Linked DNA regions of Arabidopsis thaliana. The protein of the gene in region 1 interacts with the protein of each later gene in a pairwise test. Each region holds a gene or a part of one and is shown on either strand. Other genes may lie near its edges.

The links.
Region 2: the proteins of AT5G49420 (region 1) and SHN3 interact in a two-hybrid assay, tested with the Arabidopsis thaliana proteins (one large-scale study listed by BioGRID).
Region 3: the proteins of AT5G49420 (region 1) and AT5G27944 interact in a two-hybrid assay, tested with the Arabidopsis thaliana proteins (one large-scale study listed by BioGRID).
Region 4: the proteins of AT5G49420 (region 1) and AT5G59990 interact in a two-hybrid assay, tested with the Arabidopsis thaliana proteins (one large-scale study listed by BioGRID).

The regions. Positions count from the first base shown.
Region 1 is NC_003076.8:20,032,921-20,038,664, forward strand, and holds AT5G49420 (MADS-box transcription factor family protein), read right to left. Parts: upstream 3,286-5,744; 5' UTR 3,251-3,285; coding exon 2,246-3,250; 3' UTR 2,193-2,245; intron 1,996-2,192; 3' UTR 1,752-1,995; downstream 1-1,751. Other genes in the region: AT5G49410 (thiamine-phosphate synthase), read left to right, coding at 1-193, 607-831; AT5G49430 (WD40/YVTN repeat and Bromo-WDR9-I-like domain-containing protein), read right to left, coding at 4,418-4,613, 4,692-4,750, 4,958-5,533, 5,625-5,744.
Region 2 is NC_003076.8:8,817,896-8,824,010, forward strand, and holds SHN3 (Integrase-type DNA-binding superfamily protein), read left to right. Parts: upstream 1-2,562; 5' UTR 2,563-2,741; coding exon 2,742-2,821; intron 2,822-3,356; coding exon 3,357-3,846; 3' UTR 3,847-4,167; downstream 4,168-6,115. Other genes in the region: AT5G25400 (Nucleotide-sugar transporter family protein), read left to right, coding at 5,388-6,115.
Region 3 is NC_003076.8:9,974,297-9,979,180, forward strand, and holds AT5G27944 (MADS-box transcription factor family protein), read right to left. Parts: upstream 2,297-4,884; coding exon 1,622-2,296; downstream 1-1,621. Other genes in the region: WPP3 (WPP domain protein 3), read left to right, coding at 171-644; AT5G27945 (Transducin/WD40 repeat-like superfamily protein), read left to right, coding at 1,711-1,987, 2,206-2,302, 2,393-3,305.
Region 4 is NC_003076.8:24,149,453-24,156,125, reverse strand, and holds AT5G59990 (CCT motif family protein), read left to right. Parts: upstream 1-2,924; 5' UTR 2,925-3,041; coding exon 3,042-3,434; intron 3,435-3,693; coding exon 3,694-3,852; coding exon of another isoform or gene 3,853-3,864; exon of another isoform or gene 3,865-4,275; intron 4,276-4,746; coding exon 4,747-4,920; 3' UTR 4,921-5,192; downstream 5,193-6,673. Other genes in the region: GAF1 (Polymerase/histidinol phosphatase-like protein), read right to left, coding at 6,343-6,452, 6,548-6,673.

The DNA.
Region 1 (5,744 bases):
GCCTTGGAACAGTAGCGATCACAATGTAGTTGGAATGTTAACAAGGCATTTCGCCACAAAACCAAAACCCAAGATGAAACCGATTGAGCTGAACACACCACCGGAGCAAACTCAGACGATAACCCGAGTGATCTTTGATATTTTGAAGGATCATGGACCTCTAACCATTGCTGAAACTTGGGATCGTGTCAAGGTATAGACTTTTTACATTACCATATGCATTTTTCATTTCTTTTGTTAGAGGTTTTAGATTGACTTTGACAAGTAGAATGATTGTTTCTCAAATCTGTTCCAAAGGTAGAGAGAGTGATATCTCAAAATCGATTTTGATATAATACTCTTCTTCTACATTACTAGATGGTTTCACTTTCTTTGTTAGAGGTTTTGGACCTGAAATTTTATAACTATAGGTAGAGAATGTTAAGGTTCATAGACACTGTCTCAAAACCAATTGGTGATGTGTTAAGTAACGATAACTCTTAGAGAAGTGGAATCGTTGTTGGTTAGCTTTCAAACAGAGATTATGCAAGTATCATCACCATTGATAGTCAGCACAAAACTGTAGTTTTCAATTTGATAATAATTGGTATAAATGTTTTTGAACAGGAAGTGGGATTAAGAGGGCTGACGAGCAAGCGTCACATGAAGATAATACTAAGGTGGATGAGAGAGAGACAGAAGCTGAAGCTGATATGTAACCATGTTGGTCCTCACAAGCAATTCTTGTACACTACTTGGTTCACTAAACACAACCCTTCTTCTAAATTCCCCAAGTTACCACCGGAAAATCTCACAGGAAAATCCTCTGGCCACCCTCCTAAACTTCCCTGAGCCGACTCTGTTAAGTTTTAAGGCTTTGTTTCTTGAATCTTCCTCTTACAGTTATTAATGATCACCTTAGTAAAATCAATAGCACATATATGTAGCCTGCATCTGAAGATTCCTTGTCTAGATTCTCGTGACAATTGAATATGAAAAGACATGAGATGAAAGTTGATGTTGTTACAGTTGAAGAATGTGTAAATGATACAACTGCATACCAGTTGGTTAACTTTATGTATATAATCGAAATTTCACCTGATTCTGTTGTCATATTAAAAAGACATGATGATACACTCCTGGAAGTGGATCTATACTCCAAGGACTCACTTTGTTGGTTTTGAATTGGAAATGATGTAGTTGATAGTGAATAATGGATTGATCTTAATCAAAGCGGTGGAAAGACGATGAATGGGGATGGCGACGAGATCGAGTGGATGCAGCGGAATGAAAGGGGAACGAATTGTACTTCCAAGAGTGATGAAAGACTCTTAGACTACGAGCTTGGATCCAACTTAGATATTACACACTAAGAAGAAAACAAGTTGAAAAGATACTACACACTTTTCAGATCAAACAAGTGAAAGAGAAAGTTTTTGATTAAAATGTTTGATGATTACAAATGAGAACTACAATGAGTTTATATAGGAGAGGAGGAAGAAGGGGAAGAGGTGAGAGAAGAAAGACATGCAAGAGCATGCACAAGTACACACTCATGCAAAGAGTTTTGGAAATAACAAAAACAATAAATGCAAAGTTTGAAGAGAAAATAGAAAATGGGCCACGGCATTGTGAGTGGGCCTTGGACCACGAATTGAGCTGATAAAGGGAGGCTTGAAAGTGTTCCTTAGGCCTCATTAAAAACCTTGTCAAGAAAACCCATTGGGACAAAACTTGATAAGGGAAAAAGAATGCATAAGCAACACTTAACCCTTTACCGAGCCTCTTGAGCCGTGATCACTATGAAGGAGGATTGAGTCACGTCTTCTTGATTCTTCTTTAGCTCCTTGAGTAGTCCATTGATAGCTTGGTTGAACTTCTTAGATTTTGATCTTGTTAGAGGACCCGCCAGAACGATTAATGCTTCCTCCGGTACAAGCTGCTTCTCGTCTTTTTGTGGTTCAAGTGGTTTGGTTGCCTTGGTCATGTTCTCATCGCATGAGTTTGGACTTGAAACTACAAATACAAAACATAGAAACAGAAGACAAATATTATCATTAAACCAAACTGATGAAGCAGAGAACCAGTTTGATTTCGATCAATTTCCCTCATACATATATGTATGGAAAACTGATCGAGGTCAAACCAGACCCTTTCATTCATTACATTGCTAAAACATATCTGTAACCAAAATTAGCAGAATCAATACATACATATAATAAAGAAGTAACTAGAAGTTAGTTTGAAAACTGCAGAGAAATTATCTTCAAAGTGCTGAAATAGTGTTTGCAAAGTCTTTGAAACAATCAGAGAATCGTAGATTATCTCCATCCAAACATCTCTGAAAATAAGAAAACGGAGTTAGATCCACCGAGACTTGATCATCAACAACAGCGTTCAAAATACTTGCACTAATCTCCTGATGAGTAGTGTTGTCCGAAAACCAATCATTTAGCGCGCTCTCAAAAGGCGTGTCGAAGCCAATGTCTTGATCGTAATCCAGGTTCATTTCAGGTAAAGCAGCGTTGTTATCCATAACACAAAAAGTTTCACAAATCGAGCGAATCTGATCTTGTTCTTCAGTGATCTCATTGAAATTTTCAGGTGAATTATCAGGGACGCAACAAATTGCAGAAGTACTCGACTGAATATTTAGGGTTTGATTTGGCTCTTGAGTAATCTCGTTGAGATTTTCTGGGATGCAACAAATTGGAGAAGCGGACTGAAGAATTAGGGTTTGATCATGAGTTTCGTGGTCTGAAACAAAATCGCACTTGTCGTTGTTCTTCAGGTCCTCGCGATCATTAACGAAAGCTTGATTACAGGCTAAAGCTTCATCCGCACGCAATTCCTTGAGATTCCTCAACAGCGTCCGCATAGAGTCGATCGCTTCACTAATCTCTTGAGGATTCTCCGATCTGGCAAGGCTCTCGTCGTTCCACCAAAAACCTAACCCTAGATTATTGCGAGTCAAACAGATACCAACGTCCTCCCTCGTCTCTTTGTTATCCTTCGGAACAGGACGTTGTCCGGAGAGAAAAGCAGAGACAACGGCATCAACAGAGGAGTGACCGAAAGAGTAGAAGGATACGTTGGATTCAGAAGAAGGAGGAGTCGCTAAGATAGCGATCTGTGCGTCTGAGAGAAGACAAAGCTGAGAGGCTTTGCTATAGAGACCTTCACGGCGTTTGGTGCAGGTAACCCTAAGGGAATCTCTCTTCTGTATCGTCTCAATCGCAATCTTCCTCTTCGTGCCACCTTTTTTCACCATTCTGATTGATTTTTCTCAATTTTGTTGAGTGTGGAGAAAGATAATTGAAAAGTGAAGGCTTCTTCTATCTCTCAGTCTCATATATATAAGGGAAATATCGAAACCCCATATCAATATCATCCACCTAAACCGATTAAACCACATGGACCGTAATCTTGTATGGGCTAAGCCCAACTATCCACCAGAATCCTTTTTTAGTGCAGTCTTATTTATTTTTATTTTGATAATTTTTAGTTATTGTATTATGATTCAGATTTATTTGGAGATATTTTTATTTTTCAAAAAATATTATTTTGCTAGATTCTACAAAAAAAATTTTGTCAGATTATTATGAGAGAGACAAACAAATATATAGCTGGTTCTTCACATTATCGTGTTCATTCTTTCTGGTTCTTCACTCCTTAAAATGTGGCTATGGAGTTGACAAAGGTGACCTGGTAGCAGAAGAAAACTTTGTTAAAGACCTACTGAAAAACAATAGTCCATCAAATAAAACTAACAAAAAAGCCTATCAGCTATCCTAAACACACAAAACTCAAAATATCAATACCAAGAAGAAACAATTGTAATTGGTGACTATAGAACAAACCTTGAGAGAGGGTCATCAACATATAATCACTGACTGATTTCATTGGAGCTTAACCTTGACAGTGTTTCAAAAACACCTAGCAATATCTATCACTCAGTTTACTACCACTGTCTAGAGCAACCAAATCGTCCAGACTTTCTATAAAAACGTTGTTTCTTAGTATTCATCAATTTTTTGTCAAAAATATTTGCAATTATACTGTTTTTGTCTTGATCATCTATTGTAGACTGGATATTTGCACATGTAATGTCAACAATTTCATCTGTTGTTGTACCATTAGCAGAAAAAGAAATGATTCTCAAATTTGGGGTTGGTCAGTCAACAGAAGATGATTCCAAAGCATCAAACGTTTTTGACCTCTCCTCCAATTTCTCTTTACATACAATTTCAAAAAGAAAAAGATTATCTCCAACTAAACCCTAAACCTAAAATTTTCTAACTGAAGGAAAAAAAATCCCCTAAAATTCTCTTCTGCCATTAGAACCAGAGTTTTTAAAGAATTGCAGGAAACCTAACTAAATAATTTGGAAACATGAGAAAAAAAAACATCAGTTTATCTACATAGGCGCGATGATAAGCTACGAAGAAGGTAGCGTCCGGTCGAACCAGTTAGAGAGATTTGAGATTTTGGCTGCTACACTTTTATTTCGACCAAAGAAAGTCTCTGCATTGGACAACATAACTGATACGTCGTGTCGTAATGCTTCCACACTTCGGTAATAGTTGTTCTCAAGCCTTGATCTGATTACTTCAAGAGACAAAGGAACTGGGAACCTGCAGAATGAATCCATAGAACAAAACCATGTCAGCTTTGGCTCCACCAAAGACTCTTCCAGGGTTGTAGAAATTTACCTGTTGGAGTAGCTGGAATTTCCCACGGTCTGGTTCAGTTTTCGGAGGCCAAAAGAATCCTGAAACAAATTAGCCCACATTATATCAATATTGTTAGTTCTTGGGATAATGTTGTGTCTTAATCCACTAAGCTTTAGAATGTGATCTATAAACCAACTAAGCTAATGTAAACATGGGCCTAAGCTCTTTGGGTGAAGTCTGAATTTGGTGGGGAGGATAGGCTAGATTTAACACCATGAGATATTATATTCATTAGGATCACATACCTGGGTTCTCTTGTCTGAAGTCTCTAACTTTGTTAAGGCCGAGAGCAAACGGTTTCGTTGCTCATCATCAATGTGAGGCTGCTCCCACTTGGTATCTGCATCAAAAAGCTCCCAGGGACTGTGAAGATGTGTCTCGGCAGGGTCACTCTTGTACTTAACTGTGTACCTCTCCCACGGACTATCAGGAAAATCAGGTGATTTGGGTTTCACAGCTAGAATCCGTCCTTCCCACCAACTACCATCTTCTTCGCCTTCGTCTCTCCACCAAACTTTACACTTGTCCCTGCAAGTCCAGTTCCTCTGTATTGCTGCTTCATACCGACTTCTTTCCACAAGAAAATCTGGAAACGTCACCACTTCAGGCAACGTAAGTTTGAAAGCTTTGTTGAACACTTCGGAGTTTGGATCGATGACCTTAAGTATCATTTTGCAGCAGCTATCCCCAGAACCAGGCAGAGTTGCATATTCAAGACTTTCCACTTTACAAATTTCTACAGCCTTTATATTTCCTCCTTTTATTGATGTCCAAGGAGCCACTTCCCTCAGGGAGCTAAAGTTTAAGTATTCTTGATGCCCCTGAAAGATAAGAGTAACAGCCGCAGATAAGAGAACTGATACCAAAGGTCGACTAAACGAAACAACAGATAAGATTACCCTCAAAACTTACCTGTCGCAAATACGCAACTTCATCCCCCATTTGTGGAATATAACGAGAACCCTCTTCATGTATCGATAATGTCAACCAGGATACATTTTCTATTAACTGCTGAGGCTTCTTTGTTTCAAT
Region 2 (6,115 bases), about 11 Mb from region 1:
TTTATTTAGTTTTGGTTACCAAGTGATGTTCCAGTGGTAATTACATTCCATTGGGCCCAAATAAACTTCACAATAAACAAATATGAAAAACCTTTTGTTTCTTGTTCAAGAAACTCGACCTAAGCAATACCAGATTCTCTAAAACAATACAAACTGGGTTTTCTCTCTTATGCCAACCTTTTCCTGTCTTGAGTGAAAAGCCTAGTTGATACCCATTTAAACAAAGATCTATAAAGACAAAATTTGTTGAAAACTTGGCTTTCCATTAACAAGTAATTATTTCTTTCACAATATCATACTAAAGATGAATTATACGTATATTTGTCGTAAATAAACGGAGCGATATATCATAGAGAAATATCCTAAAATAGCACTCAAACAAGTTTAATGGACAATTAAAATAACATTGTCCACAAATTTGTAAAATTAGCTTTAGTGAATTTACTCAGTAACTATTTTATAATTATATAAATTAACAAAATTAATTACAATTTGAAATCACGATTAATTTACAAACAATCGTGTGAAACGTCAATCGAATGTTAATAACTTTATATTAGTTTTTTACTATGAATTTGTGTTTTTTTAGAGTTTTAGAGATTGTGTGTTAAATTTAGTAACAAACTTACTTTCATGCTATTTATGAGAATTGCATATTTCTAGACCAATTTTTTATTATTATAATTCATATAATTATTCTTGAATTATTTATGTGCTATTTGTGAGAATTACCAATTTCTAGACCAATATTTTATTATTATTCATATAATTAAACGTTTATTGAATTATTTTAGCTCTAAAAAATATAATGAAATTTAGAATTGTTATAGAAACTTTAAATGACTCAAAACTGATCTTTGTTTTTTTGTCAACCACACATTAATTAAAAACTGATCTTTGTTAAACATCTAAATATTGAAAAACAAAAGGATTACCACCGCACCTATCCTGCATCGTCTTGTACCATTTGCATTCATCAGAGCCATTATATATTCATGTGGCTGTCACATCCTTATATACATTTCAACTTATAAATTTAATTTTGTACGTTTAGCAGATGTTGGTGAATTCATTTATTCAAGCTTAAGGTTTAACTCGTTCTTGTCTCCTTTAGGTTCATAACATTTAATGGACAACAACTACTCCAAATATCCGTGGACTTTACCACGCGACGCACCGACAATTCTCTAGCCTTTTCATTAATTGATCAGTAAAAACACTTCTATAATTTTAATTATTCTCAGAAATTTTAACCGGTAGTAACATAAACGTAGATGATCGAAAAAGATGAAATCGAGGTCTCTGTTTTGTGTCGAATTAATAGATCTATAAGAAATCAAACAATGAAAATTAAATAGATGAATGAAATATGTTTTGACGACGTTTTCACGTCACTGTTTAAGTTATCTGTTAGTAAAATTTGATAGCATTTAATTTGAATTGCTATGTAACTCGGAATAAATTCGACGGCAAGAGGTGTGGGATGTGATCAGTCTTCTAATTAAGTGTAATCTTTACAAAAAATCAGTATGAGTTAATACAGGTTTATAAATAGAAAGACATCTACAGTAAAACCTCTATAAATTAATAATGTTGGGACTGCAAAATTTTATTAATTTAGAAAGATTTTAATTTATCGATAAATTAATATTTATTAATTTATAGAGAGATTTTCGTAATTTAGTAACTTTTCAAAAATTTCTATAAAATTTTTTTCATTATAGAAAATATCTTTCAAAAATCAATTACAAGTAAATAATAATATCATGTTTAGAAAACAACACCAAAAGTTTTTGATAAAGTAAAATACTATAACTAAATTTAAATAAGAATAAATACAAATTTTAAGCAAAAAAATATTAGAATTATATTTCAAAATAATTTCTTACATATAATGTATATATAGTTGATATATTTATAAAATTATTAATTTATGATATTGATGGGACCATATATTTACATAAGATTTTTTAAAAAGTTATTATCTTATTAATTTATCGATTTGTGTCACTTTTTACACTGATCCCAACTCGGGACTGGAAGAATTTATTAATTTATAGAGGTTATTAATTTATCGAGTATTAATTTATAGAGGTTTAACTGTATATGAATAATTGAATACACATGGGACATCATTATAGTTACCTTAGTACGATTTTATGCATTTGGTTACCAAAATCCACTAGGCTTCGTAATTGGTTGTGGGTCAGTGTCCATTCGATAGTTTGCATTAGCGATAAACACTTAAAACAGTAAAACGTGATCTATTTTTAAACAATAACATTTCTTCTTATCAAATATTCACATAATTAATGAAGAAAAGAGACGAATTGATAGGCAATAAGAAATATGATCACTTGGTACCATTGTATGCATGGTATGAACTGACATCAAGTATTTGTACGTTGTAGGGTAATTATTAACATTGTAGAATGACAAGTATGATCAAATGGAAAAGGATTAGTTATATGTAGCAAAACTAGTATTTGTACTTGGACTATCTTGTCATGTAGTTTTCCTAACGCTATATATAATCCAATAACCCCATGACACGGAAGAGATAGGGGACATACAATAAATATCAGTAGAGAGGACGTGGGAAAAGCAGAGAGTTAAGTGAGTAGTTGGAGATAGAAAGATCAGAGACGAGGAATCTCTCTCCCACTCTCACTTTCTCTCCTATTCTTAGTTCGTGTCAGAAACACACAGAGAAATTAAGAACCCTAATTTAAAACAGAAGAATGGTACATTCGAAGAAGTTCCGAGGTGTCCGCCAGCGTCAGTGGGGTTCTTGGGTTTCTGAGATTCGTCATCCTCTCTTGTCAGTTCTCTCTCCCTCTCTATCTATTAATAGAGACAACAGTATAAATCTGTTTATGCAAGTCCATGCTATGAGTTAAGTTTACATTTTTGGTGTACGTGTAGGGCAGTTTTCTGATCATTGATTATATTTTCGAAGATTCATGCAAAGCTCTTATAATATCATGCATTTTTGTTTAAGTCGTTTTCCTTATTTTTTTCCAATTAAAAAACCCACGTTTATTAACATATACATATGTTGAGTATTTGTACTTTTTGTGTTGTATTTTGAAATTTTGAGTGTACATAAATTTAAATGCTTTGTCATATAATTGATACTGATGTATTTTCTATGTCTTAGTTGGATTATAGAAAATCATATAGCAAAGAATTGGGAAGGAACGAACACTACTCACTATAAACTTTCCTCAAAAAGAAAACGACCCAATTTATTATCAGTAACAATTTATAACAAATTTGTTGTGTGTTTGTTTTAGTACTTTGAAGTTTGAATAAAATGTGTGTTTTTTGCTTACGTAACTTATGTGAGCTATCAGGAAGAGAAGAGTGTGGCTAGGAACATTCGACACGGCGGAAACAGCGGCTAGAGCCTACGACCAAGCCGCGGTTCTAATGAACGGCCAGAGCGCGAAGACTAACTTCCCCGTCATCAAATCGAACGGTTCAAATTCCTTGGAGATTAACTCTGCGTTAAGGTCTCCCAAATCATTATCGGAACTATTGAACGCTAAGCTAAGGAAGAACTGTAAAGACCAGACACCGTATCTGACGTGTCTCCGCCTCGACAACGACAGCTCACACATCGGCGTCTGGCAGAAACGCGCCGGGTCAAAAACGAGTCCAAACTGGGTCAAGCTTGTTGAACTAGGTGACAAAGTTAACGCACGTCCCGGTGGTGATATTGAGACTAATAAGATGAAGGTACGAAACGAAGACGTTCAGGAAGATGATCAAATGGCGATGCAGATGATCGAGGAGTTGCTTAACTGGACCTGTCCTGGATCTGGATCCATTGCACAGGTCTAAAGGAGAATCATTGAATTATATGATCAAGATAATAATATAGTTGAGGGTTAATAATAATCGAGGGTAAGTAATTTACGTGTAGCTAATAATTAATATAATTTTCGAACATATATATGAATATATGATAGCTCTAGAAATGAGTACGTATATATACGTAAACATTTTTCCTCAAATATAGTATATGTGTTGTGATTCTAAGACTTGTAAACTGATATGGCCTACTGTTTAAAGAGTAGTTGATATTTTCTATTGAATTTGTGGACATGATATAATTACAGGAGATTAGTATAGTAGTCATTATGATACTTATGAAGGTACAAGTGGTAGGATGATAATTAATTAGTTTAATAAAGAATAATGAACATTAAATGTGAAAGAGATTTGCCACTTTTGTTAAACACATCTGCGAATCAGATTCTTGTGATTCGAATGTTAGTCCTACCTAGATTAAGAAAGGTTTTACTATTTTAACATGTTTACCTGGTTTGGGTAAAGTTCATGTCCTGTCCTATTCCGTCTTGTCCCGATCATGATAAACTTTATGAGCAATTCTTATAGAATTTTATTTTAAAATACTGATTTTTGATATTCAATTTTATTTGATTATTTTTTACTTAGGCATGTGATAAAGGCGATTTTGACTTAGTTTCACATACAAGTTTAAGTAAATTATCTTACATAACAAAAGAGATTCAAGTAAATAAATCTAAGCGGGCTAAAATTAATCAACTAGCTCAAGTTGAAACATTTTATCAAGTGAACCTCTTCCAAGTCTAGATAGCATCTCAAGTTTATATATGATATCATATCATGGACACACTTTGGATTTTGGATATTTTGTGTCGATGTTTAAACATCTTGTTTAGATATAAGGAGAGCATCTATTTTGACATAAATATTTAATAGGTTAAGTTGACGAATTTTGATATTTTGGATATTTTGATGCGGTAGGGTTATTTTATTATTTTTATTCTATTTTGACTGAGACGATTATATATAGATTACCGGCAATATTTTTGTTTTTTGGATACTTAAAATATAAATACTGTTATATATGTCTTCTAGATATTTTATATGAGAGGTCTAATAAGTTTTAAAAATACATAAATATGTAACTAATTAAATATTCATGTTATATCGAATAAAAATATTAGTATTCAACCGCACTATATCATTTATGTAAACATTGTTTCTCAAAAATGATTTAAAATCTTAAAACGGACACAAACACCAGGTATAAAGTTTTAACTAGTTATATTGGCTGGTTTAGAGTTAAATTACATTTTGTTAGTTCAGAATTTGACTGGTTTGGTCGTTTTAAAATTTAATTAATTTCGCTATTATTCTTTTTATTTTATTTTATTTATAACCGAAAACAATTATAAATTGGTGAATCACTTCCGTTACGTGTGAGTCTCTCTCTTTTAGTAAACTCTGAAAACGTTTTTTCAGGATCTCACCAAAATTCACAAACTTCGGAGAATACACCACCGTCTCCGCCGCAGAACCACCGTCGTAAGAGAGGCAAAAACATCACGAATATGGGTAAAGGTGGATCACTAAGCGAAGGCGTGATTAAGAACATAATCATCTCCTACACATACGTAGCAATATGGATCTTCCTAAGCTTCACCGTCATCGTCTACAACAAATATATCCTCGACAAGAAGATGTACGATTGGCCATTCCCGATCTCACTCACAATGATCCACATGTCCTTTTGCTCAACCCTAGCTTTTCTTCTCATCAAGGTCTTCAAATTTGTCGAACCGGTCTCAATGTCACGTGACACTTATCTCAGATCCGTCGTCCCGATCGGAGCCTTGTATTCACTCTCTCTTTGGCTCTCTAACTCAGCCTACATTTACCTCTCGGTCTCCTTCATTCAGATGCTCAAAGCGTTAATGCCAGTCGCCGTTTATTCAATTGGCGTGCTCTTCAAGAAAGAGGGTTTCAAATCTGAGACGATGATGAACATGCTTTCGATCTCATTTGGTGTAGCCATTGCTGCTTATGGCGAAGCTAGATTCGATGTTTGGGGTGTGATTCTCCAGCTTGGTGCTGTTGCTTTCGAGGCGACTCGTTTGGTAATGATTCAGATCTTGCTTACTTCTAAAGGAATCACTTTGAATCCTATCACTTCTCTTTATTACGTTGCTCCTTGCTGCTTAGCTTTCTTGTTTATCCCTTGGATTGTCGTGGAGTTTCCGATCTTGAGAGATACCTCTAGCTTCCATTTCGATTACCTCATTTTCGGGACGAATTCGTT
Region 3 (4,884 bases), about 10 Mb from region 1:
TGAAGGCGAATTTTAAATTAGTTTGGGAATTTTCCAGATTTATATTTTCACAATATAATTAAATTATATTGATGGATTGTTTTATATATATAACTATAGCACTAAACAACTTTCAATAATTCTTCCGACGCAAAAGACTCTCTTGAGAAACCCTAATTTCAACTGAAAAAATGGCAGAAACCGCCGATACAATCAACACCACCGTCTCAACGCCGCAGCCACAATTAGAAAGCAGATCAGACGAGACAAGTTGCCTCCAAAAACACAGATCTGACGCAACATCAGAGGTGACGAAAGAAGAGAAATCTGGAGGAATCTTGTTCAGCGTTTGGCCACCGTGTCAGAAAAGTCGCGACTACGTGGTGAATAGTATGATCAAGACCTTATCCACAGACTCGATCCTCTCCTACAAATACGGAACGATTAAACCTGAGGAAGCCTCCGCCGTCGCGAAATCTATAGAGGAAAAGGCTTACGACATCGCATCAAGGTTCGTGTCGAGTGATGGGATTAAGAATCTTGAGGTCTATGGCATAGAGACTAGCGAGCGTATGATTGAATCTGCGGAGGTTCGATTCAAAGCCAATGGAAGTATGGAACTACTACTAAATCAAACAATAAAGATGATGCAGTTGCTGATTTAGAGGAGAAGCTTGAGCGTTAAGTTTCCTTATCTCTTTTATGATCTATCTCTAGGGTTTGCTTTTGCTAGATTTGAGATTCTCAAACCAGATTTGTTTCCTTCTTCTTAATATGAGTCGTTGATTGCTTTTGCATTATGTGGTTTAGTATCACACTTATTATTCCTATATAATGTTCAATTTCTTTCGTCCACCACCAGTAACTCTATGCAACTTCCCTCATTAGGTTATGAATAATCCTTGTAAACTTAAAATTATGATTAAGGCTAGGAGGCACGTTGATAGCTCAAACGGATTCGTTGAGGCTCGTGAATAAGCAAAGAGAAGCAGAGAAACAGAGTGAAAACAGAGCAAGGAGAAACAGATTGTTTAACCACTAGCTTGAGAGTCTAGTGAGTTGTATATAAATAGATAGAAGAGTATTGCACAAGTTATGTATTGATGTGTGTGTAACAAACGTATGGTTTGTTAGAGGAGAGTTAGGAGATCTCTTGAACAAATCTTCATTGTTAGGGCTTGGAAGAATTTTAATCTGAAACTCACAAGGCATTGTAATCTGGAAATTCACCATTGGCATCTAAATCCAACAGAGCCAGAGTGTTTCCACCTATTGGACACAGCACTACTTTTAACAACATCTTTTGACGGAAGCTGCCACTAGAGCATCTGACACATAAAACTGTGTCCTCTTGTCTTGCACTACAGGTTTTGAGTTAATCGCTTCTCTTTCAAAACAACTTTGCTCCACTGAATTCCATTCACAGAATTGAACCGAAAACTACAGTTTTTGAGTTCATCGCATCGATCGATTACTCAATTAGTTGCTTATTTGCGTCAATTATGGACATCTAACATTCAGCGTTTATTGTATACTGTATTAAAGCTCTTAATATAGACTCAGACAAAAATAGAATTGAGAATTGCATTCATAATACTTAGGAAAACCATACCAATCAGACAATTAAAACTCATAATCTAAACTAGAAACAGATCGAGTCAGGGACTTGATAGAAGCTTCCGTTGTCATGGTTATAAAGAAAGACAGAATATTTGCTCTGATGTTGACTCAATGATGAAGTCGATAGCTCTTGCTCTGTGTTTGACACACCATTCTCCAATGGTTCTGTCCATTGTTGATTATGGTGATTCTCAGGAGAAGACAATAGATTCGTTGTGGAAGAAACCGCACGGCTCTGACCTAACTTGGTCTGGTTTTTCTCGGGTTGGAGTAACAGAAGCTTATTTTGCAGTACCCGTAGACCACTTTCTAACGAATCCTCCATCTCTAAGACTTTCTCAGACAATTTATTGTCGTCGAGGATCTTCTTACGTAGAAACAGAGAAAGGTTTGTCCTTTTCTTGCATCGCTCTCTCTCGTGTAATCTGCTAAACCTCTCAGCCATGTCTCGAACTTTTGATTGATCTTCCGGCCATGTCTTGATGAGTTCTCCGTCACGACCATAAAGTATGACACAGACTTCGATGTCGCAGAGAGTCGAAAGCTCCAAGGCTTTCTTAAACATGGTCTGTTCTCTCATAGACAAATTCGTGGTCTTTTTTGCAGTGGAAGAAGAAGACAGAGACGATTTCTTGAAGCAAGTTTGGTTTCTCACAGACAATTTGGTTTTCTTCTTCGTCGACATTGAAGAATACATTGTGATGTTTTGTTTACACACAGAACAAAAAGACGCTTTTATTTGTTATCAAAGAAGAGAAAATAAACTCTGATCGAGAGAATTGGGATACCTAAGTGAACAGTTGGGAGACACTGTTTACTTGTGGGATGCGTCTAGTTGTTATACATCTAAGCTTGTGACCATTGATGATGAGAATGGACCTGTCACAAGTATTAACTGGACGCAAGATGGTCTTGATCTGGCAGTTGGTCTTGACAACAGTGAAGTCCAGGTTTGGGATTGTGTTTCCAATCGTCATGTGAGAACATTGAGAGGTGGTCACGAGTCAAGAGTAGGATCATTGGCATGGAACAATCACATTCTAACAACTGGAGGAATGGATGGAAAGATCGTCAACAATGATGTGAGGATCAGATCATCCATTATTGGAACTTACGTGGGTCACACTGAAGAGGTTTGTGGTCTTAAGTGGTCAGAATCTGGAAAAAAACTAGCAAGTGGTGGTAACGACAATGTAGTACACATATGGGATCGTTCTCTCGCTTCCTCAAACCCAACTAGGCAATGGCTGCATAGGTTTGAGGAACATACTGCTGCAGTGAGAGCTCTTGCGTGGTGCCCTTTCCAAGCAAGTTTGCTTGCAACTGGTGGTGGTGTTGGAGATGGGAAGATTAACTTCTGGAATACACACACTGGGGCTTGCTTGAATTCAGTAGAAACTGGCTCTCAAGTATGTTCATTGTTATGGAGCAAAAGTGAAAGAGAGTTGCTTAGCGCACATGGGTTTACGCAGAACCAGCTTACACTTTGGAAGTACCCATCTATGGTGAAAATGGCTGAACTCAATGGTCATACATCAAGAGTTCTTTTTATGGCACAGAGTCCGGATGGTTGTACCGTGGCTTCAGCAGCAGGTGACGAGACTCTCAGGCTTTGGAATGTTTTTGGAGAACCACCTAAGACCACCAAGAAAGCTGCTTCAAAAAAATATACGGAGCCATTTGCTCATGTGAATCATATTAGGTGAATCTACTGTGAAGACTAACAAGGAGAAAACCATTGATAGGTAAATAATGTATAGAGAAGCAATGTATTCATCTTTTTTCCTGATTCATTATTCATGAATTTTATATAGTTAATACAAAACCAATTATATATGTAAACTGTTGAGTCAAACACAACTAATATAGTATATATATTTCTTTATGAGATTTTTATGTAAAACTCTGTGATGTTGATGCTTATTGAAGCTTAATTTGTTGTTGAAAGAACAACTCTTTCCGATTCAAAGATTGAATTTTCCCCATCAAAGGCTCTGTTTTGGATTTCATTGCAGAACCAAAGTCCTTTTTTTTAACACATACGTGTTAAGGTTTAGGATCTCTTAACCTCACTTTACAATCTCAGAACGATAAAACAGAGATTAACATTGATCTCTCTTCAAGCACATCGCTTGGCTCAAGCACATCGCTCGACTATCACATTCAACATAAAGCATAAACCAGAAATGAGTGAGTAATGACTAATTTATACTCGATTCCCTTCAATAGCAAAGCCTCTGTTTCCACCCAAGTCTTTCTCTTCTTCTTTGCCTTTGTCCATGTCATCATTCAAGTCAACATTCTTCTTCTGACGTGGCATCATCCTTACATGGATCGTATCAATACGCTTGAGGTTGTGTGTTGGTGGTGTTTCTGGATTTGTGTGTTGCTTTTTATGGTAGGTCTTGGAATAAAGACACTTGCTTTTTGTTCAGTTCGAGTTTTGCGTTTTCTAGAATCCAAAACAATATTAGTTCATAGCTTGATGAAATAATCTAGGCTCCATTTGTCATCTCTCTTATAATTGGCAAACCAATGATTTATGAAACCGCAAAGTCGGGTTATCTAGAATCGGTTTCCATAAGCTATGTTTAATATTCTGGTTTTGTTGAATAAAACCGGTTATGACAAAACCGGTGAAGCAACTAAGAGCACGTACATAGAGTATCATTAGTAAATTTTTAATATTAATTAGATTATAACCCGCGGTACACCGTAGAGACAATTAATTTTTTTAAATTAGTATATATAAAAGTCTGCAAATTATATTTATCTATAAAAATAAATATTTTTTATAGTTTACAATTGTTATTAAGTAACATCTTTTCAAACTCGTTCCGTCAAACCCGTCCCGTTAAAAAAATCCACGGTACACCGCTAATTTAAATAAATATTTTACAGGATTGCAATTATATTTTAGTTTGTCAAACAAATTTTTGTTTTAAATAGTTGTCGAAATCTAGTTCAAATATTGGAGAAATAAGATTTAATGAACTGATAAGAAATGTATTTAGGTGAGTTTTGCTCATTTTAAGGGATTGCAATTGTATTTTGGTTTGTCAAATATTTTTTGTTTTAAATAGTTTCCAAAATCTAGTTCAAATTTTGGAGAAATCTGCGTGATATATGGGATTGAAATATGTTTGGAATATTTTTTGTTTGTTAATCAATTCATTGCCAAAAGAAAACCAATAATTAAAAGCAGTGACAGCCATTGTAAATAAGTTCCAACTCCAAGATTTATTTCACAAAATGGCTGCAAAAATGTATATGTAGATTTTAATG
Region 4 (6,673 bases), 4.1 Mb from region 1:
TACTTATATTTATTTATATAATTTCATTAGTAATAGGAATAAATACTAAAATATATATCTCCCCTATTCTATCATCGTTTTCATGAACCGTTGACCTTCTTGAAACTACAACTAGGTATATAATTGTTGTGTGCAAATAACCAAAGTGGGTTACTGAGAGACTTGCGAAAGTATAAAACCAATAATTTGCTCCAGTGGTGGTAAGAAATGCAAAAACAAAAACACTATTTATTAAAAACAAAAAGAACAATTCTTATTGGATCGTTAAAACTCGAAACTAGTTATGAACCAACCATAGCATGAAACGTTTTGTTTTTGGTACATTATGCTACAAAGTTTACCACCAAATAGAAAAAGTCTTCGTTACCATCGATTGATCTATAGATTTTGCTTTTGCATGACCTTTCCCATCAACTTGTGGCTATTTTGCCCTTAAGGATACACAAAATGTCTTTCTAATTAGTCCCATAGTACATCTATCCACTGTTGGAATCGAGATCCTATGTCCTCGTAACGATTGCGAATTATTATTTATGTCTCTACATTATGTGGGGCAACTTTGTTTTAAGTTTTGAAATGTCTTCAACGTTCCCTAAAAAATGTTTGCAAAACACAGCTAGTATATTTAGAAATTACAATAAGAGTGGTGGATACGGAACAAACACAAATCGACATTAATGTTTGTACGTTGACGATAAAAAGAAGAGTAATCGATAAAAAAAAACTATAGATAATCCCAATAGATGATGGTTTAGTGTTGTTTGAAAATACTCTCTCAAAATGAGATTTACAGCTCTCTTCCTACTAATTGACCTGTTTAGAGGAGACTAATTTACATGCTCTAGTTTCCGGCGCATAAAAAATGAAAGTTTGTGTTAATCAAAGAAAAAAAATATAACTAATTTTTATTTCGTTGATTCTAATGGACCTACATTCCGATCCTCTTAAGTGAAAAAGATGCTTTCGTACCCCATAAATAAAATAAAATTATATATTTGGCTTAGAGAAGTGATATCGACGAGAAAAAATTCTTCAAATAAATTTATCGACGGACCCATATTGTATATATAGAATGTAATGGAGAAGAACAATCATTTCCCCTAATACAAGGGAAGATTGTATACACATTTCAGGAGGAAGACTATCTAAGTTAGTGCACTTTTGTTAATTTTGGTTCAAATTTAGGTTTTAGATGTAACAAATTTGATTTTTCATTTTTGGTTCGGTTTGTTACCATCATCCAAATGAAATATTTTGGATACATATAGATATATAATCATTTTAGTTTAAACTTGGATTGGACTGAATTAGATAAATATAATCAATATCATCTAGTAGTAATAATGTGATATGTGGGTTAATTTTTCTACTAAACAAACACCACGAGTTGGGTTGATATTATGTATCCTCATTATGGAGTGAGGCTTAAACAGGAAATTATAAGTTGTTTTGTTCTTAAATGAGTGATTATGTATTATGTATGATGATGATGATGAGTAGGCCAATTTAGTGACTGACTACAACGTGTTCCTACAATATATTGGTATATATGCAGTGATCCTACTATTCGAATTTCGTTCTTGGAATGTAACTAATCGTAAACAAAATATCTATAAAAAAAAACAATATTTATATACTTTACCGTAGGGGTAGCTATGTATAACTCGTTTGAGATATTCTCTCGATATGTTACCTAAATCGATTTGATTCCAAACAAAAAATTCTGGCTAATTAACCTGACTAATCATGGATTGGAACAGATATACAATTCATATACAGAGCAGTACTATCGTGTCTTGTCTGGTTAATTATCCGGACCGGACTAAACACCCGTTTAATGTGAACATAACCAAAGCAATCAAGTATCTGAGCTTAATTAATTATTACTGTTGATTAAGTTAATGATTAATTAGGCAAAAAAGTAGATTTGTATGCTGCTCACATGGGTTTGCGTGAAATAATGCTTTTAACCATCTTTTTGTCTCTCCTATACAATTCGAGCTAAAAAGCTAAGTCGTGTCCTTTATTTTATTTTATTTTTCTTTACATTGTTCTTTTGCTGTTATGATTTATGAATGTTGCACGAGATGTTATCTATCTACTATTTTAAAACACAATTGTATATTTTTTTTCGTCAAGGACTTGAAGTTAAAACACAATTGCTTACGAAAATATCAGTAAATTTACTGTTTCAAGAAATGATTATGCCTTCCATTTTACAACAATTATCGTTGTGAAATTCTTAATACATTAAAAAATGTTATAACGCCATTTAGTTTGAAACGTAAATGTGTTAAAGAGATTGAAAAAAAAGAAAGAGTTTACTAATTATAAAATTCAATATAATAACAATTTTTTTGAAATTCAATATAATTAGTATTTTTTTTTTTGAATACCAAGAGGTTTTGGACTGAAACCCGTAATCCCTCCGTACCCGAAACTACAGCATATAATATTACTTTTGTTCTAAACGTCATTCGAACTGGCGATCTCTAAGTTTCGTCTAGGGTTTTTACTAATTGAATTAACAACACTTGGTTATAATTAGTAATTATTTGTCACTAGCTTTCTTCCTCTGTATTTATAATTGATAGCATATTAATCAGTAACCTATATATAAGTAAGTATATTTGAATTTTTGTTTTTAGTAGTAGTTCTATTTTTAATGAAAACATTTTTAAACCTAAATGAAAAAATAATTATCATTTTTGTTCAACTATCCAAATTCACCTTCGTATAATACATGTCGGATTCAATTTCGTGTAATATATGTCGTTTGAAGAATAACGGGTGAGAGTGAGATAGAAGCGACCTGAAAACGAAAGGCAACTCTTTTTATACCTAAAGATTCCTTTTTTCCTAGTCAGTCAAAAGAAGTCAACGGTTAAGTCAGTTGACTTCAGATGACGATTAATGACGTCAGCATCAGTCCTTCCTCTGTTAAATAGAAACCAAACCACTTCGAGTTTCACTCACTCACACACACACACATAAACAAACACACAAAGACACATAAACACCACAATAAACTAAAACCCACCATGTGTGGACACGTCAGCACTTCTATAACCTCCGGCGACAACTGTCCATGTTTTCTATACTCCGACGACATAGTGGCTCCTCCTCAGCTGCTTGATCATCATCATCATCAGTTCCCGCCTCCGCCTTTGGCGCTTCTTATGATGAGCCAAAACTCTCTATACGCGGCCGAGGCGGTTTCAGGGTTCGGTTACTTTGATTCCGGCATGAACGGTGGTGGTGGAAGCAGCAGCTGCGACTCGCCAAGCTCTATGGGGAGTGGCGGAGAGAGTCTTGTTATGCAGAGGAGTGTTAGTAGCCATAATGGCTTTTCCGGTAATTACACAGCGGCCCATGATTTCGTTAACGATGATGATGGGCCAGTGAGACGGGCCCTTAGCGCCGGAGATCTACCCGTAAGTAATATTATATACACACTTGCAGTTTCGAGATTTCAAACGTTAACTTTTATGTTTTCGTTTACGTATGAAATTTTTCACATTTTATAAAACGAAACATTATATTGTTGGTTTGTTTTATGGTTTTGCAAGAGTGTAAAATGAAAACACCAAAACACAAATAAATTATCTAAACATACTAAAATTTGGGGTTTTATTTGAAAATAATAATAATTCTATCATAACATAAGACGACACTGTTTTGGTATGTGTGTAGAGGAGTAGCAGAAGAGAGAGCAGTACGGTGTGGAGTGAGAGCAATGCAATAATAGAAGGAATGAGCAAAGCCTACAAGTATAGTCCTGAGGAGAAGAAAGAAAAGATCGAGAAATATCGTAGCAAACGAAACCTTAGGAATTTCAACAAGAGGATTAAGGTAATTTTATAAATGTTTTACAGTTGTTTCTTTGTTCTAAACTGTTTGTTAGCATAAATTCTTATATCTTATTTTAACATATAAGAATTTATCATTTGATTCATATTGTTCTTCATCACATAGAGTCCATGTACACCTAACCTATATTATATATTCAACATGTGTATATATGTGTCGCATGGAAAACTTTTGAGGACTTGACATGTACAGTAGTTGTATGGAACAGTGACATGCACCTTCACATATATTGATGCAACCATTTTCTAATCAAGCATACAATTTCCTATAAATTTCTTCATTAATCAACTAATAATGATTTCTGTATAATTTCATACACAAGAGCATATATAAATGTCTATTTTCTTAAAATCAAATGTATAAGATATCTTTTCTTAGTAATACTGTTTTTTTTTCACATTTAATACAAAACTAAATGGTTCGTTGACCAAAAAAAAAAAAAAAAACAGGCTCAATGTATCATATCAATCACTCTTATCACTAAAAAGTAACATTGAATTTTTCTTTTCAATCTTATCTTCAAACATAAATAGAATTTCATCTGATATATATGAGTATGTGAACGAGAATTAATGTTCTGTCACATCATATTTGGGTCTAAGGAATCCTTTGAGATAGACACATCAAGCTCCAAGGTTGCTACAAGTTTTTTTCTCCATTAGTTTTTTCTTACAAGAAGGTCCACAAATATATTTCATTGCTAATTAAAGATCGGATTGGAGTATTCATGTACTAACATATTCAAACCGTATCTCAATGAGATATTTCTGCTCGCGTTATAATTTTTTGACCGACAAGTTTTGACTTGTGAATGATCTAAAAACTATCACAATACTTTGGGACAGGTTTAATAATAATCTTTTATCTTTCTATTAGTACGAATGCAGGAAGACATTAGCGGACAGTAGGCCAAGAATAAGAGGGAGATTTGCAAGAAATGATGAGATCTCACAACAAGAACAAGTTGATGTTATGGAAGCCGTGGTAGGAGATGTCGACACGTGGGCATCTTTTCTTGATTCTTTCTCTGCTAATCACTTCCTCAACTAATTTAATCTCTTCTATGTTTGTTTTTCTTATATATGTTTATATATGGCACTTTAATTTGTTTTGGTTTAAAAGATTTCCCCATGTTGCTAAACTCATGTGTAGGTTTTGTGTTATCTTTGTATATAAGAATAACATATCTTGTATTTTTGATCTGAGATATTTGCAAACTAATCCTTTTTCACTGGCCATACAATTCTGCATGAGTGGTATATGCCACTTTGTCAATTGACGATTGCAATTGTCTTAGCATGGCACTGAGTTCTATAAGTGAGATAAATGGGGTTTTAGATAGGTTAAAGGCAAAACAAAACGATATTCACCTATTGAGAACAAAGTGGATTTGAGATAAAACGTCGTCGCCGTATTAGATCCGTCATTTAAATTCGGTAGTCCATAAGTGAGTTGCAAACGATATACATAAAACAATTAAAAATATCGAACTCCAACTAAAACAAATTGATTACACATCGTTAATGTATATGGACCCTTAAATAGTTAATGTATAGTTTAGTATGTTCCTTAATGGTCTGATTTTTCTTTTACCAACTTGATTTACAAAAGTATTTAGAAAGTACAAAGATGATAACTTTTAGCATTGAAAAACATATAATGAACACATGGCCATGTTACTTTGATGATTTCATAATACTCTCACGTTGATTACACATCGTGCTAAGTACTAGCAATCTCCAAAGGTAAACATATATTATATACCTTAAGAATTCTTAAGATATCAAAGAAGCTTCCACTCAAATAAACTAACTTAAAGTAATCAACCCATACATTCATTCTCATAAGTCAGTATATAAAAAAAGCTAGAGGAAAACATACTAGCAATTATTTTTGCCAAAAAAAAAAGCTATGGAAAAGTTTCTCAGCACTTTTGATATTTTGCAAGAAAAAATGTTACTTTGATTGTAAGACTATATTATTTTCCAACAGTAACAAAAATCATTTATTTTTATTTAAAAGTGAAAATAATTTGAATGTTAGGCATCTTTAGTAATAAGAGAATAATTTTTCTCACAAGTAGGTAATTAGTAATAATGTGAAGAATAATGCTTCTCAATTAGATTATAAATAAAGTAGTTTTGAAAAAGGAAAGAGAGCAGTCTTTCTTCTTTAGCAATGGCTATGGAGGGAGATGTAGGCCCTCCGGCGACATTGTCCCCGACTTTTGTCGGCCGGCGGTAGATTTACCGACTCCTCCACTCTTAAATCTTTTTAACTTTTTTTTTTCCTTTTTAATATTTTAACTAAAAGCCTTTTTCTTGAACACGAGTACACAAAGAATCAACTCTAGAGAATAAATTAGATTCTTTCTTTCCCCCATTTTATAATCGGTTCAAAAATGAAACCACGAGACTTGCGTGGGTATAAATTAATGGACAAAACTTGTACTTATAAGAATGATCAAGCTCTTCAATGTTTTCTTTTTTTACTGATCCTTTTGAACCTTGATTGAAGTAGAAAAGGCTTGAAAGGCCTTAGTTGCGGTAAACGAACTCTACTCCTCTTAGCTTGCGTCTTACCTACATTATGGATTGATATAACATTAGACTGAAATCTATACTCCAAACTTATGTGTTAGGTTAGATTTGCAAATGAGGAAACTTAGATCTCGTACCTGATTTTGTGTCATTGTTATTTTCAGAGGATTGGACTTGGGCTTGGTGACTAGCTTCGGTTTCAGTCTTTTCAACCTTCTCGTCTTCAATTGTTAACTCTTCGACCTTATTGTCTTCCATTGTTA